Lytechinus pictus: one gene and its partner. The protein of the gene in region 1 interacts with the protein of each later gene in a pairwise test. Links are inferred from orthologs where the notes say so. Each region holds a gene or a part of one and is shown on either strand. Other genes may lie near its edges. The genes, in order: ubiquitin-conjugating enzyme E2 W-like and E3 ubiquitin-protein ligase MARCHF5-like.

What was found.
Region 2: the proteins of ubiquitin-conjugating enzyme E2 W-like (region 1) and E3 ubiquitin-protein ligase MARCHF5-like interact in binary tests that used the Homo sapiens proteins (3 or more experiments, as listed by UniProt). The link is inferred for Lytechinus pictus from reciprocal best matches to the Homo sapiens genes UBE2W and MARCHF5.

The regions. Positions count from the first base shown.
Region 1 is NC_087261.1:15,045,404-15,053,621, reverse strand, and holds the start of ubiquitin-conjugating enzyme E2 W-like, read right to left. Parts: upstream 5,753-8,218; 5' UTR 5,732-5,752; coding exon 5,720-5,731; intron 1-5,719. UniProt on the Homo sapiens protein: Accepts ubiquitin from the E1 complex and catalyzes its covalent attachment to other proteins.
Region 2 is NC_087256.1:23,778,288-23,786,505, reverse strand, and holds the start of E3 ubiquitin-protein ligase MARCHF5-like, read right to left. Parts: upstream 4,219-8,218; 5' UTR 4,004-4,218; intron 1-4,003. UniProt on the Homo sapiens protein: Mitochondrial E3 ubiquitin-protein ligase that plays a crucial role in the control of mitochondrial morphology by acting as a positive regulator of mitochondrial fission and as an important regulator of immune response.

The DNA of each region.
Region 1 (8,218 bases):
TTGTATTTTTCTTTTGGCCAATCCAATATTTGGGCACTTCACCACCTTTGGGCTTTAGGCCTTGCCTGGCCCTGGTAGTGTTGGGGCCTAGCCTATACTTTACAGTTTCGCAAATTTGATACTTTATGTGAAGAGCTTAAAATCTTTAATGGCCATTTAATTGGGAACCTTGATCTTGAAAGCCAAAATTCACTTCAAACTCAAAGTCATAAGGTCTACAGCTTATAAATATAAAGCAATACTTTCACCTCCATTCCTGCCATTCACTGTGTTACAGGTTCCCAAATACATAATTTGGCCCATTATTGTGTTGCCCGTTGAGACTCCACTCTCAAAATCTTAATTGGAGCAAAGACACTGCAAGGGTAAGACTGGACAGTCTGTATTAAAATGCTCGGGAAGATTGCCCAACAGCGCTGAATAAATAGCCATTTTGGGTTGTGTAAAAAACACAGGGTTCCAGCTTTTCAAAAAAAAATACCCTGATTTTTCCCCAACGAAGTCTTAAAATTCCCTGATAATTATTTAAACCCAATCCCAGTTTCGCAACTTGTTGCAGTGAATGACACGTATTTTTAGTATAAAAACAATCATGTAAAACTAATTAGTATACCATAACCAGTCATTCAATTGATGTTGTTTTGATATGCAACAAAATATAACAAAGTCTGACTGACTACCGTGCTTTCGACTTTTGGGCTGATAAAAATTCAGATTTTTCCTTGATTTCAGGCATTGTCCCCTGATTTGAGGTATTTTTTATCGAATTCCCTGATTTTTTCCCTGACTGGAAAAAGTTAAATAATCTTCCCTGATTTCCCTGATTGGCTGGGAACCCTGAAAACATATGAGAGAAATGGTAGAGGGGGGAGAGAATAGACGATTTTTATATTAATTTTTTTTCTCTTCAATTTCTTTAAATCTAAAATTAGAGATGAATATCTTAGAGGTGGACTTATCCACACGCGCCGCACTTGTGCCCTCTCCCAAAGGCCAAACACCCCTATCATTTTCAATACATTGCATGCCAATGTGCGAAGGTTTACTTGCTCAATGCTGTTGGGCCTGCGCGCCCATCCCACGAGCGAATGGAGTGTTTAAAAAAAATCGCCAAAGTGTCCGTTCTTGGCCTTGTATGGTAAGGGGTCCTGAAGCTACGCACCACTTACCACGCATGCAATTTCAATGGCAAAATGCGCACTCTGTGTGTGGAACTGTGACTGCAGAGTGACGAAAGATTCCTATTCAATTTGCTTTTACAGAGGCTGCAATAAATCACTAAATGCATAGAAAACTAGCAACTCTTTCAGTAGAGGCGCTGATCCAAAAATTGAGATCCTCATAAACCAGAACAATTCATGTCTTGAAAAATTGAGATTGTCCATGTTTATATGCCAATGGGGAGTTTTTTTTCACTTACCCCTGCGGGACATAGAATGCAATTACGGGGATTGAGAGTGCTAAAAATGGATTCAGTGACCTCAATTCCCAACAGTTCACCATCTATTTTTTCACGACTTGCTGTCTTCCAATAATCTTATGAAACCTGATATGTTCACATTGAGCACTTTTAGAAAGGTACGTCGACATAGAGGACTGGTACGAGATGACGTCATTTTTTGGCCTGCCATATGCCTTAGGTCCTCACACACATCCACTATCAAAATCGAGAACCTCGCCACATCCATTTTGCGGTTCTCCTAAATCATAGACGACGTGCACGTGAGTGACGTCATTTTAACCATTCAAGCCCAGCATGAAGATCAACCTTTCCCTTTTAAAACACAGTTTTCAGTGACTTTTCACAAAATTAATGTAAGTTGTACGATGCATTATGTTTATCATATTTGAAATTGCAATCTGATCTCCAAAATATACATCGATATATATCCTAACTCGCGTAAAAAGGAATCAAAGCAAGTGAAAGGGCACATGTGCACACGTTGCACATTCGCATCACCCGACCGGGTCGCCAGGCGATGGTGCCCAAGATCTTCCGGGTCGGGCAGCGTGTCATGACCCGCTGGTTATCGCGCTGTTTCATGTGGACGTACGTACACGTACAAGTCGAGTGAAATCTAAAGTATTCGCATCTGTAGTGAACAAGGGCAGACGACGATGTTGACTCGAACGATCAGATGACTGCTACGTCGTTCACGTTCACTGCTCCTAAAACTCTCTAGTGACTAGCATTCACATTCACTCAGCTCAATTGATGTCGGCACTTGACAGGTGAATGAACTTTCATAGATTTCTTGTAGAGAAAAATCAGACAAGCATAATGCTGGAGATTTCATCAAAATCGGATGTAAAATAAGAAAGTTATGACATTTTAAAGTAAAGTTTCGCTTATTTTTCACAAAATAATTGTATGCATAATTTAGTCACATGCAAATGAGAGAATTGATGATGTTCCTCACTCACTTTTTCTTTTGTTTTTTTATTATTTTAATTAAACAATATTTCAATTTTTGCAGATCTGACAATAAGGACCAACTTGACTGATCCATAAAATGTTAAACAATGGTAATTCCACCATGTTCAGACTTCAGAGTGAAATAAAACTTTGTTTCACAGGACAATAACATTTGAATATTTCATACAATGAAATCCAAAAGAAATAGTGAGTCATGTCATCAGTCCCCTCATTTGCATACCAACTAGGATGTGCATATAACTGTTTTGTGAAATTAAACGAAAATAAAAAATGTCTTAACTTTCTTATTTTACATTCGATTTTGATGAAATTTTCAGTGTTGTGCTTGTTGGATTTTTCTCTTTTTATTCAAATCAACATTTTGTAGGGGTGGACTTGTCCTTTATTACTGAGACAGTCCCTGTAAGCTGGGACAATCCCAATTTTCTGACCAGCGCCTTAGTAAGTTACTGTCTTTGACTTTGGAGTTTGAAGTTATTTTCACTTTCCTAAAATAACATGAACCTACATGTATATGACACTGGAAATACCATTTCTTTTCCTTCTACATCAGGCGGTGAAATCAAGAGGTGTTTGGAAAACACATCAGGATTTTCATATTTTGTGATATTTTCTTTGTCTAGGCCTAGTCTAGATCTAACATTAGATCTTCTTCAATCTTGTTCTAATCTTGGGTCATGTGGGTAAGGATCTTTCATTCATGCTTTGGTCGGATTTGGAATATTTACCCCAAATTAGTGAAAAATAATTTGTTCAAATATTAAAATTGGCATAGTATAGACATAGTTTTCATCATTTGTAAACAAAGTGCATATATCTTAGTTTAGGCCCCCCCCCCCATCATACTGCAGGGCTGCCAACTCTCACGCAATCTGCGTGAGTCTCACACAATTCACCCGATTCTCACGCTGATCATAGGAATTCTCAAGCTGAACCCCGAAAATAGAGAGAAAAAAAGTTTATTAGCCAATATCGGATATTCAATAACATTATAACCCGGCCAGGCATAAGTTTCAAAGTTTTTAACCACACAAGCGCAAAGCTAAACCATCAATGCAAATGCGATTGGCTTACTGTATCCCGCGTGTGAGAGCTGGTGACGTCGAAATTTACTATGAAGCGGGGTTTCGTGCGAGGCACAACGAGCGATTGAGTGTCAATGCAATGCCATGTCATGGCGATACACTTGGTTTCTTTTGTAGCTTTATTTTAATTGAGCCAAAAAGAAACTGATAATTTATTATTTTATGATGATAGTTTTAGCTTTCTTCCTCTGTTTTTTTTCTTTCTTTTCAATCATACTTTGTTTCTTCCCTTTCTTCTTTCATTTCTTTGTTACTGTCTTTCTTTTTTAATTTTCCCTTTTTTTGTCTTTCGTTCTTTCTGTCCTTTGAACAAATATTTTTCTCTATTTCTTTTTCTTTCTTTTTTGATTTCTTTCTTTCTGTAATTCTTGAATCCATCCATCCTATATTTATCTCTTCTTTCTTTCTTCTTTTTACCCTTTCTTTGCTTCATTCTTTGTTTCTTCCTTTCATCCATCCTTTCTTTACCCTTTCTTGTTTTTTATTTCTTACTTCTTTCAGCCTTTTCTCTCTTTCTTTCATTCATTCCTTCCTTTCTGTCTTTTGTTCTTTCTTTGTTTTTCCCCTTCGTTCCGTCTATCCTTTTACCTTTTCTTTCTTTCCTTCATTCCTTCCTTTTTTTGTCTTTTGGTCTTTCTTTTTTTTTTTCTTTCATCTATTCTTTTACCGATTCTTTTTTTTATATTGCTTGCTTGCTTCCTTAATTCTTTATTTCTTTCCTTCATTCTTTCTTCTTCTTCTGGAAACAGTAGTCCACCGTCTGGTGTATTGTCGTACTGGTGAAGTGCAACGTGCAAGTGTGTACATTATCCGATAAAAAATTGCTTAAGGGAGCAGCAGATAATCACAGGTTGAGGTTTCACTGCTAAGCTTATAGACAGTTGATTTGGAATAATGAAACTTAAAAATGTGGAATTTTTTTCAAGGTCAGTGAACTTCATTAAAAAAGCCAATTAACCTATTTGAATCCTGCCTTAACTTAAGTATATACCGTATGGGCACTAGTATTCAACCCAGCATAATTCAAAGATTTGGACAAATTCCCCCAAATATTTAGAAATAGGGAATTTATCTTATTTTCATACCTTTGTTATTTCCAGGGTAATCTGTTGTCGGTATTTTCTTTATCAATCTGTCGACTATATGCGCGGAGGATCGAATCATGTGGCGATGACCTTTTGCATTGAATTGCACTAGTATTCAACCTAGTGATGATAGATAGCGAATCTCAAAATGGTTTAGATTGCTAAATTAGATCTAGATCTATGTAAGTCTCTGGCTTTGATTAATTCCGTTTGGTCTCATCTCAAATGGTCTAGTCCATAGTCAGATGGGACAAGGGCAGATTGAGAGACAGGGTCATCTTTCCGCGCTAGGTTGAATACTAGTGCCGACGGATTGAATACTAGTAGTGGCAAAAACCATCGCCGTATAATTCGATCGCCCGTGCACAGTCGATGGGTTGAAGAAAAAAATAACTGAAAAAGAATAACCAGCATTTGCTCTCGGAAATAAGAGTTAAGACGGGTCTGAAATTAAGATAAATTCTATATTTCTATATATTTGACTTTGAGGAAACTCTCCAAACGGGTTGAATACTAGTGCCCTTACGGTATTTATGCCTTTTTATGGACTCAGAGTTAAAAGTATGTGCCAGATTGCAACACCATTTAAATTGCAAAATTGTAATTAAAAGCTCCCTACCGTGGAAGGGGGCACACCCCCTTCCACAGACCACACCATCCCCCCTCGGGCGCTCCGTGCCCTCGATCGCTTCCTCGCAATGTCTCACTCCAAGCTCTTCTCAAAAGTTGGCAGCCCTGATACTGCACTGTCTTTGATTGGTGATGCAGTTGGGCCTTTGGCGAAAATTGAGCGAGTTCCCGCTCCGCGCTGCGGTGGGAGAAAGACAGTCACACGAACGAAGCACACAAACTCACACCCGGCAGCTCAGGGCAAAGACAGAAGGAGCAATCCGTTGGGTGTTGACAGTCGCACAAACAGCTGCCAGTTTTGGTCTCGACCAGAGAACGAGACAAAATTATCGAAATACGACCAACATGTCGCATTAATAATGGTCTGTTTCTAAGAGCTACACGGGTATCCAACCCTTTGATGGCCATTGCTAAGCCAATAGATCTACGAAAGCTCATCGATATCAGTTATAAATCATGTAAATAACCCTCATTTAGCTTACCTGTGTCGCCATATTTCGCCTTTCCTCATTGTAATTTGCAAAGCGCCCTCTCAGGGCTCAATTGGCATATTTTCTTAAAGGAGAATGAAACTCTTGGAGCAAGTTAGCTTTTGTGAAAGCAGAAAAATCAAAGAATAAGATCAACAAAACTTTGAGAAAAATAGGACTAGCAATAAAAGAGTTATGAGCATTTGAATGTCGAGATCACTAATGCTATGGAGATCCTCCCATTGGCAATGCGACCAAGATCTGTGATGTCACACACCGTGACGTACAACTCTCCCACTTGGACACTGAAAATATACCCCAAAACATCTCTTTTTGCTCATTCTAATCATATGACAAACGATTCATCAATGATATAATGTTGTGAAACCTCTGTACTTGTCATCTCATAGAGAGAACACCTCACCTTGTGATAGACTCTATAAAAGTGAGAATATAAGTGAAATAAGTACTAAAGTAATGAGGGAGTTGTACGTGTGTGATATCACAGATCTTGGTCGCATTGCCGTTGGGAGGATCTACATGGCACCAGTGATCTCAATATTCGAATGCTCATAACTTTCTTATTATTCATTCAATCTTCCTCAAACTTTCAACAATATGTTTCTTTGATTTTTCTCTTTGATATGGATTCAGCTGGTTTCAAGGGTTTCATTCTCCTTTAACTTTTCATTCTCCATGTTCTCCTGCGCTGCATGCCGCGCCCCCCTTCTAATTCCTCAGAGGACAGTGCAATAACTTCGGTGCGAGAGGGGGGGGGGCTGTCCTCTCACCGAACATTTAGTTTTGGGTGCCCTGATTGGAACAGATGACAAATGTATACATGTAGAAATATATATATATATTGTGACGGCCTCTAATCCAACTTTCAGCTGACACGGTTTTCTTGTCAGGATGCCACCGTGCCTGACCGTCAGTTGCGTACTTCCCAGGACCAAAATCCAATTGAAACCAGTTGGATTTCCAACTGGTTTCAATTGGTTTCAACTGGTTTCAATTGGTTTCAACTGGAATTTAACAATTTCCAGTTGAAACCAATTGAAACCAGTTGGGCAACTGGAAATCCTAACTGGAACCAGTTGGGTAACTGGAAATGACTTCCAATTGGAAATGATTTCTAACTGGAACCAGTTGAGTTATACTGGAAATCCCAACTGGAACCAGTTGGGCAACTGGAAATCCTAACTGGAACCAGTTGGGTAACTGGAAATGACTTCCAACTGGAAATGATTTCTAACTGGAAATCCCATGCAACTGGAACCAGCTGGGCAACTGGAAATCCTAACTGGAACCAGTTGGGTAACTGGAAATGACTTCCAACTGGAAATGATTTCTAACTGGAAATCCCAACTGGAACCAGTTGGGCAACTGGAAATCCTAACTGGAACCAGTTGGGTAACTGGAAATGACTTCCAACTGGAAATGATTTCTAACTGGAAATCCCAACTGGAACCAGTTGGGCAACTGGAAATCCTAACTGGAACCAGTTGGGTAACTGGAAATGACTTCCAACTGGAAATGATTTCTAACTGGAAATCCCAACTGGAACCAGTTGGGCAACTGGAAATCCTAACTGGAACCAGTTGGGTAACTGGACATGACTTCCAACTGGAAATGATTTCTAACTGGAAATCCCAACTGGAACCAGTTGGGCAACTGTAAATCCTAACTGGAACCAGTTGGGTAACTGGAAATGACTTCCAACTGGAAATGATTTCCAACTTGAACCATGCAGTTGTGTAACTGGAAATCCTAACTGGTACCAATTGGGTAACTGGAGATGACTTCTAACTGGAAAGATGGGTAACTGGAAATGAATTCTAATTGCATGGAACCAGTTGGGTAACTGGAAATAAAATTGGAACCAGTTGGGTAACTGGAAATTATTTCCAATTGGTTTCCAATTGGAAATTTTCCAGTTACCCAACTGGATCCAATTGAAACCAGTTAATTTGCATATTATCTGCCAGTGTGCACAGATTAATGTTTTATGAGATTCATCATCATTAACAATGTATCTATTTAATTCTTTTCAATTTCAAGTACCACACTTTTTAAAGATAAGTATTTAGAATACTTAGCAGTGAAAACCATGTTCATAAATGTTATAGATTATAATTAAAACAGATTAAAGGATAATTAGTACACCACTAACTGTTACCAAATTACATCAAATAAAAATACATATATTTGAAGATCTTCCATATAAATATATACATATGAAAGTCTGTATTTTATCAATGCCCTTTACATTGGTATTAATAGACATAAAAACACTGCTTCTGTGTTGGCATGAGCAATAGTTAGTGCAAATGCTAATTAATTTGTAACTAATTAAGTTCATTCCAACTGGAAGTTCCAATTGGATCCAGTTGGAAACCAATTGGTTTCAACTGGTTCCAGTTGAAACCAGTTGCCTCCAATTGGTTTCAATTGGAACCAATTGAAACCAGTTGCCTCCAATTGGATTCAATTGGTTTTAATAGGGAAATT
Region 2 (8,218 bases), on another chromosome or scaffold:
TAACACAGTAAGATATTCCAAGTCTCAATATTAGCATCAAATTCTACTACGTTTTATTCCAAAATTGAGTCGCAGACCAATCGTAAGGTGTGCGGTCGCCTTTAGAGGCAAGACGAAAACAGAAATGTATTGACTTTGCCAGTTCTCTTGCCAAGCATCCACAATTTACAAATAGTTTACCTCTCAGACAGCAATGTAATTATGTTTTACGATCACAATGGAAATATCAACAATATAATGCAAAACTAAACATTTCCAATGTAGCTCTCTTCCATATTTGTTGATCTTTTAACAGGTAATCAATCTTATTTTGTTTTACTTTGTATGTTGACGGCTCCACAGACCAATTACATCATTGCATATTTTACTATGTAAATATTTAATGTTTTTGTTTTTAAATCTCATTGAATTTTACCTGCTACCAGCTCTAAGTGAGAGGATATAGTGTGTGCATGTCAAGATTTGATGATCATGATCTCTTCTTTTCTCTTCCTTTTCTTCTTCCTATTTTTTCCTCCTTTTCTCTTCTCCTTTTTCTATCCTCTCCATTTACTTCCTTACACCTTCATGACTTTATTTTCACTCACCTAATACTACATTCTTCTTTTTCTCCACCGACACTATATTTTCTAAGATCATACAATTACAATTTCTACAATAGGTTTGTGTATCATTTAGAAACTGTTACCATACTTTGTATGAAAACTTTATATGTAACTTGCATGTTTGTAAAATTGATCACTATTCAGCTTTTGGCGGAGATTTCAATAAGCCATTTTATATCTATCTCTGTATCTACCCTTCTACACATCTTCTTTTTTTTTCTTTTATGAATGATTCGGTTCATAAGAATGTCCAGCCAATGAAGGTCCTTGGTGTCTATGTACAATCAAGTCTTTGATGGGATTTGCATATCATCATTTTCAAAAGTTTTAGACCATCTGAAAAATTGTGTATATAGCGCATGTATGCAATTGTAATACTGTTAATAGTTTAATTAATAACTTGGCTATATATTATAAGTACATACTACATATATGGTAAGGTGCCCCAAGTCTTTGCAGTCCCCATTGTCTGTGCACATATCTGCGTGATTCTAATAAAAGAAGATACACAACAACCACAAACTTTACACCTGCAAGACCAAAAATCTGACACAAAGTGGTGGAGAAATTTTGAATTTCAGGCATTTCATGTGACAGCCTCAAAATGCAGCCTTTATCATCAAAATGCCTGAATCGTGTGTAAAGTGAATGGGTGCGTGAAACATTTTTTGGAAAGTCAAAAAGGGGCCTAAGCTTTCGATCCTAGCAGAATCTTCGTCGGAGGCAACCAACATTTTTTGGTTCAATCTGAAAATGACTGGCCAAGGTTTTTTTCCAAGAAAATCATACATTTCTTTCCAATTTTTAATAGCTTTTTGGCACACTTACTCATGAAAATATAAAAAACATTATCAACTGAATTTTTTTATGAAATAAAAAGAAATTCATGTTAAATCTTAAATTAAATAGTTAGGTGCACAGACATGCCCCCTGCCCAATTTATAAGTATTCATTCTGTGTTTCAATTGAATGGTTAAAGAGAAATTAGTTTAAAGAAATTGTCCAATAGCCTGAATCACCTGGTCTGAATAATACTTTTGTTTTTAAAAAAAATTGAAAATAGGTGACCAAGTGCTATTTTTATGGTAACTTGTAAGTTGAGTGAGGGGGGGGGGGTTCAAGTGTGCCAAATATAAGGATATTTTATGCACTGACAAAGTATCTGGCTCATTGCATTAACTCATTGAGTGTGCTTCTGGGACCCGTTTCATAAAAGACTTGCAATTGTTGTAACAGGGATCAGCAGCCAATCAGAATCAAGGTTTCCATGGTAGTTGCCATAATGGCAAAGTTACAACAGTTGCATTAACTCATTGAGTGTTCTTATACCCTTTTTACACACGCTAAAATTTCCTTAACCCCGTACTATAGGTGGGGCTAAATTGCCATTTAGCCCCACCTATAGTACGGGGTTAAGCTTAGCCCACTTTCTTTTTACACAGCATTTTTGCAAAGTGGGCTAACCCCACCTTTAGTACGGGATTATTTGGCCCTGCAAAAAAGCAGGGTTATCCCAGCAATTGCGGTGCTAAGAGCGATAGTACGGGGTTAAGATCGCTAGTGTAAAACGAAAGTGGGCTAAGCTTAACCCCGTACTATAGGTGGGGCTAAATGGCAATTTAGCCCCACCTATATTACGGGGTTAAGGAAATTTTAGCGTGTGTAAAAAGGTACGAGTGAAGTACTTGTACTACGAATGATCGACAAAAACCACTAGTCCGGGGTTAGCGAGTTTCGTGTGTGAAAAGCAAGCATTCCTTATCCGGGGTTAGCGATAACAATTTGGCATGTGTGAAAAGGAAAAAAAAATAGTACGGGGTTAAGGATAGTACGGGGTTAGCGATAGTCCGGGGTTAAGAAAATCCTGTGTAAAAAGGGTATTATTGATCTTCCTCAAAAGCACCATAGAAAGACACCCCCCTTCTTCTCTCTTCCTCTTCTTCTTTCTCTTCTTCCTTGTTTTCCTTCATGTCCTTTTTTTCTTCTTCTCCCTTTTTCTTTTTCACCCTTCTTCCTCTTCTCCCTTCTTCTTCTTCACCCTTCTTCTCCTCCTCCTCCTCCTCGTTTTGTTCTTCATTTATTCTTCCCTCCTACTTCCTTTTGCTTGCATTGTAGATGTAGATCTACATCTACTAAATGATGTGGCATTCTTATCTTTAAAATTGTTTGGCATCCCTTTCTTTATTTTGCACGAGTACTCTTTGAACCACAACAAGCAGTACAGGCGCACAGCCAATATGGGAGACTGTCTCCCATGAGAGAGATTATCTCCAATATCAGAGACTTTTGTGAAGAATTTGGGTATCCAATTTCAGAGACAGTCTCCAGTTTAGGAGACCAATTTCCTTTGTTCACATTTGCTGCAAAAGGATTACCTTGGCGGCAAATAAAAATGTGATAAGCAGATTCCTCATGAAAAATTACCCCTTTTCACCGTCTATTTTAAAAATTCACCGTCTACTTTTGTTTTGATAAGGATTTTTGTTGTCATCCACACACAAAACAAATGGGTTTCTGACCTCAGCGAGACAAAATTTTGGGTGGAAAAAATTATGCTTTTGTTGGTGTTTCTTTTGTTCTTTTGCAAAGCAAGTCTCTAATATGGGAGATTGTCTCCCATATTGGAGAGTCTCCCATATTGGCCGTGCGCCTCTACTGAACAAGTTAGCAAATTATTTTTAGACTTGTCTCAATCATTGACAATGTCATGAATGTCAATGCATCTCCAGAGTCCAGAATGGTTACTGACACCGGACCATCCAAGACCAACTTATTTCTAACTAGTTAAAGCCAAGGCATTATCCTGGTTTAAGTCACCACTCCATTCATTGCCGTTCATTTCGTCAATGGCAGTGACTTCTTTCATCTCCCATTGACTTTGTACACAACGAGCGCACACACACTGACACACACAAGAAGAGAGGTGACTTATTTCAGGAAAAGGCCGTTCTAATTAGGGCCTACTAAGTTAGAAAATCTATTTCGTCACACAACAATTTCAACAAACCATGCAATAAATTAAATGAAAACTCACTTTAAAACTGCCACAATTTTTTTTTTAATGGGGTAAAAATTTGGTCAGTTGGTGTGGACCCTTGCACAATCGCTAAATAAGTAGAACATTTATAAATAAGAGAGAAACTGAAAGAGATGACCGGCGATTTCGCTCCGTGCAGTATCTAACGTTAGATCTAAACCGAATCACGAAATTGTGATCCGCCTAATGCGACATGTGTGCATGAGAATCGCACGCGCCGATTAAGGAAATGTGCCTACACTCAATGCCGTCTAATTCGATTGCTAATAATTGCCTTGGCTTGGGCTTGGCTTTAAAGCCTAACAAAAATGACGCACACCACAACGAGACAACGACTCGAAAATGTTTATAGAGAACTTACAACTTTTCGTGTTACAGGGCAGGGCTACAATCAACCATTTAGAATATTAATAATCGGAAGGCAAGGTGGAGGTCGGCGGCGGTGCTCCTGCACTTGTAGTTGTGGAGTGTACCTTTATACACTGCTCGAGCTCTGGCGACCAATAACGCGCGACCTAGTACCTATGAGGTGAAAGTAGCGAGCTTTTGTCTTCTTCTTATGTTGGTTTGGGTGGCGATTAGTCATATTTGACTATTGTCGCCATTGACTCTATCTATAAAATCTCACTTCTCACATAATGATATTATTACCAATATGATGTATACATATATGAAATATTTTTATTGTGCATCTTTCTAATATGAAAAAGATAATTATAGTATATACAAAAGTTTGTCGTAACTCTTGTCAAAATGGCATATAAACAAATCTTCACCAAATACGCTTGCCCTGCCCTTTCAAAGATGCAATCACTGACCGGTCAGCACGGAGCGGAAACGTAGTAAAAAATCTATAAATCTCTCTAACTCATAATAAAACATCAAATTGATCAAGTGTCACACTGGAATATGCTCCTGAACTGAAAACTGTTTTTAATTGCGTTATAAGCATTGAATCTGAGAAGAGCAAATCCAAGTAGATTAGAAAATAACTAGAAAATAAATAGAAATACATTCTTGGTAGAACAATATTGTATGCCGCAATAAGCTTTAACTTCAGCAAAATATTTCATTCGGGAATTTGCATAAAGGTTGTTAATTTCCTACCTCAAATCTTAAAATGTGACATTTTGCGAAATGCCGCGTATATGACTACTTAGTTGAAAAACAAGCCATTTCACAGGAGGTTTTTCATGTAGGAATCTGAAATGGCACCCACATAATCCTGATATATTCTTTTTTCGTGTGAAAGGGTTTAAATTAGATAAATGACACATTTCAGAAGGTTTATAGGATAATTATTCCTTGTAAAAGGCTGATAATCCATGTTTTTTTTATTTACATTAGAAAAGTTTAGATTTCCGTGGATTTCCGTTTAAATTCTATCATCATCATTTTGCTAGATGTCTAAGCTTTAAGATGATACCAAATTTAGCTGCCCGTTTTTGCCCGTTTTCATGTTACAGCCGATTTTACTTGACACAACACCCCCAAAACCTGTTCAAAAACGGTCATTTTCATACCGCGCAGTCATCGCTGCGCACCGTGTGGGGTGTATACATTTCCTTTCATTTTTGCACGGCGAGGACGATTCCCCTTCCATTCCTTGAAAATGACATGAATTCCAGGCTTAATGCAAACAAAATAAAGGTTGATAACGCAAATTAGGGCTACCCGCCCCTCTTCCAGAGATAAAAGTTACTTGTAGAATAATTTCAGCCCAAAACCCTCCTCATAGTTATTCATTCGTGGTGTTATATACTCTGCGTTTTACCCAAGTCTACGCCGCTTGATAAAGCACGGTTAATATTTTTCAGATTTTTAAGTATTTTTTTATCTAATGATCATTTTGATGCCATCAAATTATTTTCAGAATCTCTTACGCACTTTTTAGGCATATGAGAAGCATAAACCACCGCTCACTCTGGTCAATCTTAAAGTAACACATAACACAAAGATTATATACTGCACATTGTTTAGCGTAATTTGTCTTTTCGCAGATAGATTTTAAGTAGCCAATCAAAATTTGGTATCAAAGTGACGTCATATCGGCTTTAAATTATGTTCAGTCGATTCTACGCCCAAAATTACCCTCAATCAACATGTTAAAGTAAAAATATAACACGGAATATAATTTTGGCGCACTTTCAACTCATTCTGGCCCACTGTGCGACGCCTCTAAATCTAGTCGGAATTTAAATAAGCCTATTATAAGTTGTAGTTTTTCTGAAATAGGCCTATAAGGGGAGGAGGTGTTAAAATGTAAATTAATTGATTAATAGAGGACAAGTCCACCCCTACAAAAAGTTGATTTAAATAATAAGAGAAAAATCCAACCAAGCATAACACTAAACATTTCAGCAAAAACGGATGTAAAATAAGAAAGTTACGACATTTTCAAGTTTTGCTTAATTTCACAAAACAGTTATTCATGCTTTGAAAGTTGAGAATAGGCCTACATTTGGTTGATCTTGTTCTCCAAATATTGATACTTCAATCACATTTGGCTGCAGGGTCCTGGGAAGGATTTTTTTTTACAGGGGTGGTGAAATTTGACAAGCAAAAAAAAAAGGGGGGGATCCATTACAAAATGCAGGGCAGTGATGATTGGGTTGTATTTTTTTGCAGCCTATATATGTTGAGTATCCCATTCAGTAATTTAACGATGTAGAAGATGTACTTTTATTTGCAAGTTCATAAAGTGCTCCATATGCTAGGTTTAAAGGACAAGTTCACCCTATCAAAAAGTTGATTTGAATAATAAGAGAAAAAAACACATTAAGCATAACACTGAAAATTTCATCAAAATCGGATGTAAAATAAGAAAGTTATGACATTTTAAAGTTTTGCTGTTTTCACAAAACAGTTATACGCCGCACATCCTGGTCGGTATGCAAATGAGGAGACTGATGACGTCATCCACTCACTATTTCTTTTGTATTTTATTATATTACTTTGTGAATTTTACTCTATTTTATTGAGGCTTCCAGCCTGGACCATCCCTTAAAGCATGCACGCGCGTGTTTAAGATTCTGGGCATTCTTAACGCATTTTTATCATGAAATCGTTGATAAAAATTTACTGTCATGAAACATGGATTTTAAGTATAGTTTGTTATAGAATTACTACAGGGGTATACATTATACTCACCAATGAAAATGCGAACGCGCAGCGCTAGCTGCATAGGTTTTGACAATCAAACCTGAAAAAGGATATTTTGAGAACTTTATGGAATACACGAAGAGAATATAGGTACTTGACAAATCAACTAATGCGAGCGCGCAGCGCGAGCTGAAAATGTTGATGCCCAGACAATAAAACAGACATTTTGCAGAGCACTAATTTTGAAAAACAATTTGTAAATCAACCGAAATAATGAATGATCGACGTCCAAACTGATTTATGTTTTGTATATTGACTTCAAAACTTGATATTTTCAGCTCAATATTGAGCAAGATATGTATTTCATCGATCATGCAATGCGAGCGCGAAGCGCGAGCGAAAATTTGATATAGTGACATACATTTTTTCCCCCAAGTCTTCTCCTTATTTCATTCACTCGTCTTCCTCCTTTTTTTTTCCTCTACTTTTTTTCTCCTCTCTTTTGCCTTTTTTCCTCTTATTTTTGCTACGCCAATATGGGGGGGGGGGGGGCCTCGACCCCGGCCCCCTGGATCCGCCTATGCCCCGGGGGGGGGGGGGGCACTCGACCAAAAAAGAGGTAGGGGTGTGCCGCGGGCGAGACAAAAAACGGGGGCCTTGGAGCGGGCTTGTTGTAAAAAGGAGGGTCCTCGGAACAGGCTTCGGAACTACAAATGTTTGTCAAAAGGGGGATCCTTGGAACGGATCGCCAGCGTGTACGTGAGTGCGTATGCATCCCTATGGAACGGGCATGATATGCGTGCATGATGCAGCTAGCGCGGCCTCCGACGGGTGCGCTCGCGCAGAGGCGATGGTCGGACAGAGCTCTGCGGCCGCTTTTCACCAAAATTGCAGCTCATTGTAGCAGATCAATACGACCGGAACGGCGTAACAAAAATATGCGAAGCTTTGGAGCGCTTTGGAGCGCTTTGGAGCGGATTTCTTTCTTCTTTTTTCTCTATAAGGAGAAAATGCTATGCTTTGGAGCGGCTTTCTGTGTTCTTTTCCTCAATAAGACTAAAATGCTATGCCTTGGAACGGAAATTTGAGTGTAAAAATGGGGGTCCCCTCCGAGGCACATACCCACTATGCATTATATACTGAGTGCCCCCCCCCCGGGCCTATGCCTCTAGCTGTCGTATACTGTTATACTAGTACGTTCAAAGTCTCTAAACAAATCCATTTCCTGATAACCAGTCCTAAGTACCCCCCCCCCCTTATCGTTAAATGCCCTCATTTACATATATAACACCCATCAGGCCCTGATGTATGTTATATATAAACAATTCTCAAGCATTTTGAGACTGTGATTTTTTTCGCTCTGTCACTACGCTCCCTTGCATAATATTAATAATGTATTTTTTAAAGGGGGAGAGGGACTAGCTGCTGGGACAGTATAAGGCTACCCCACAATGGGCCATTTTCATTGTATTGA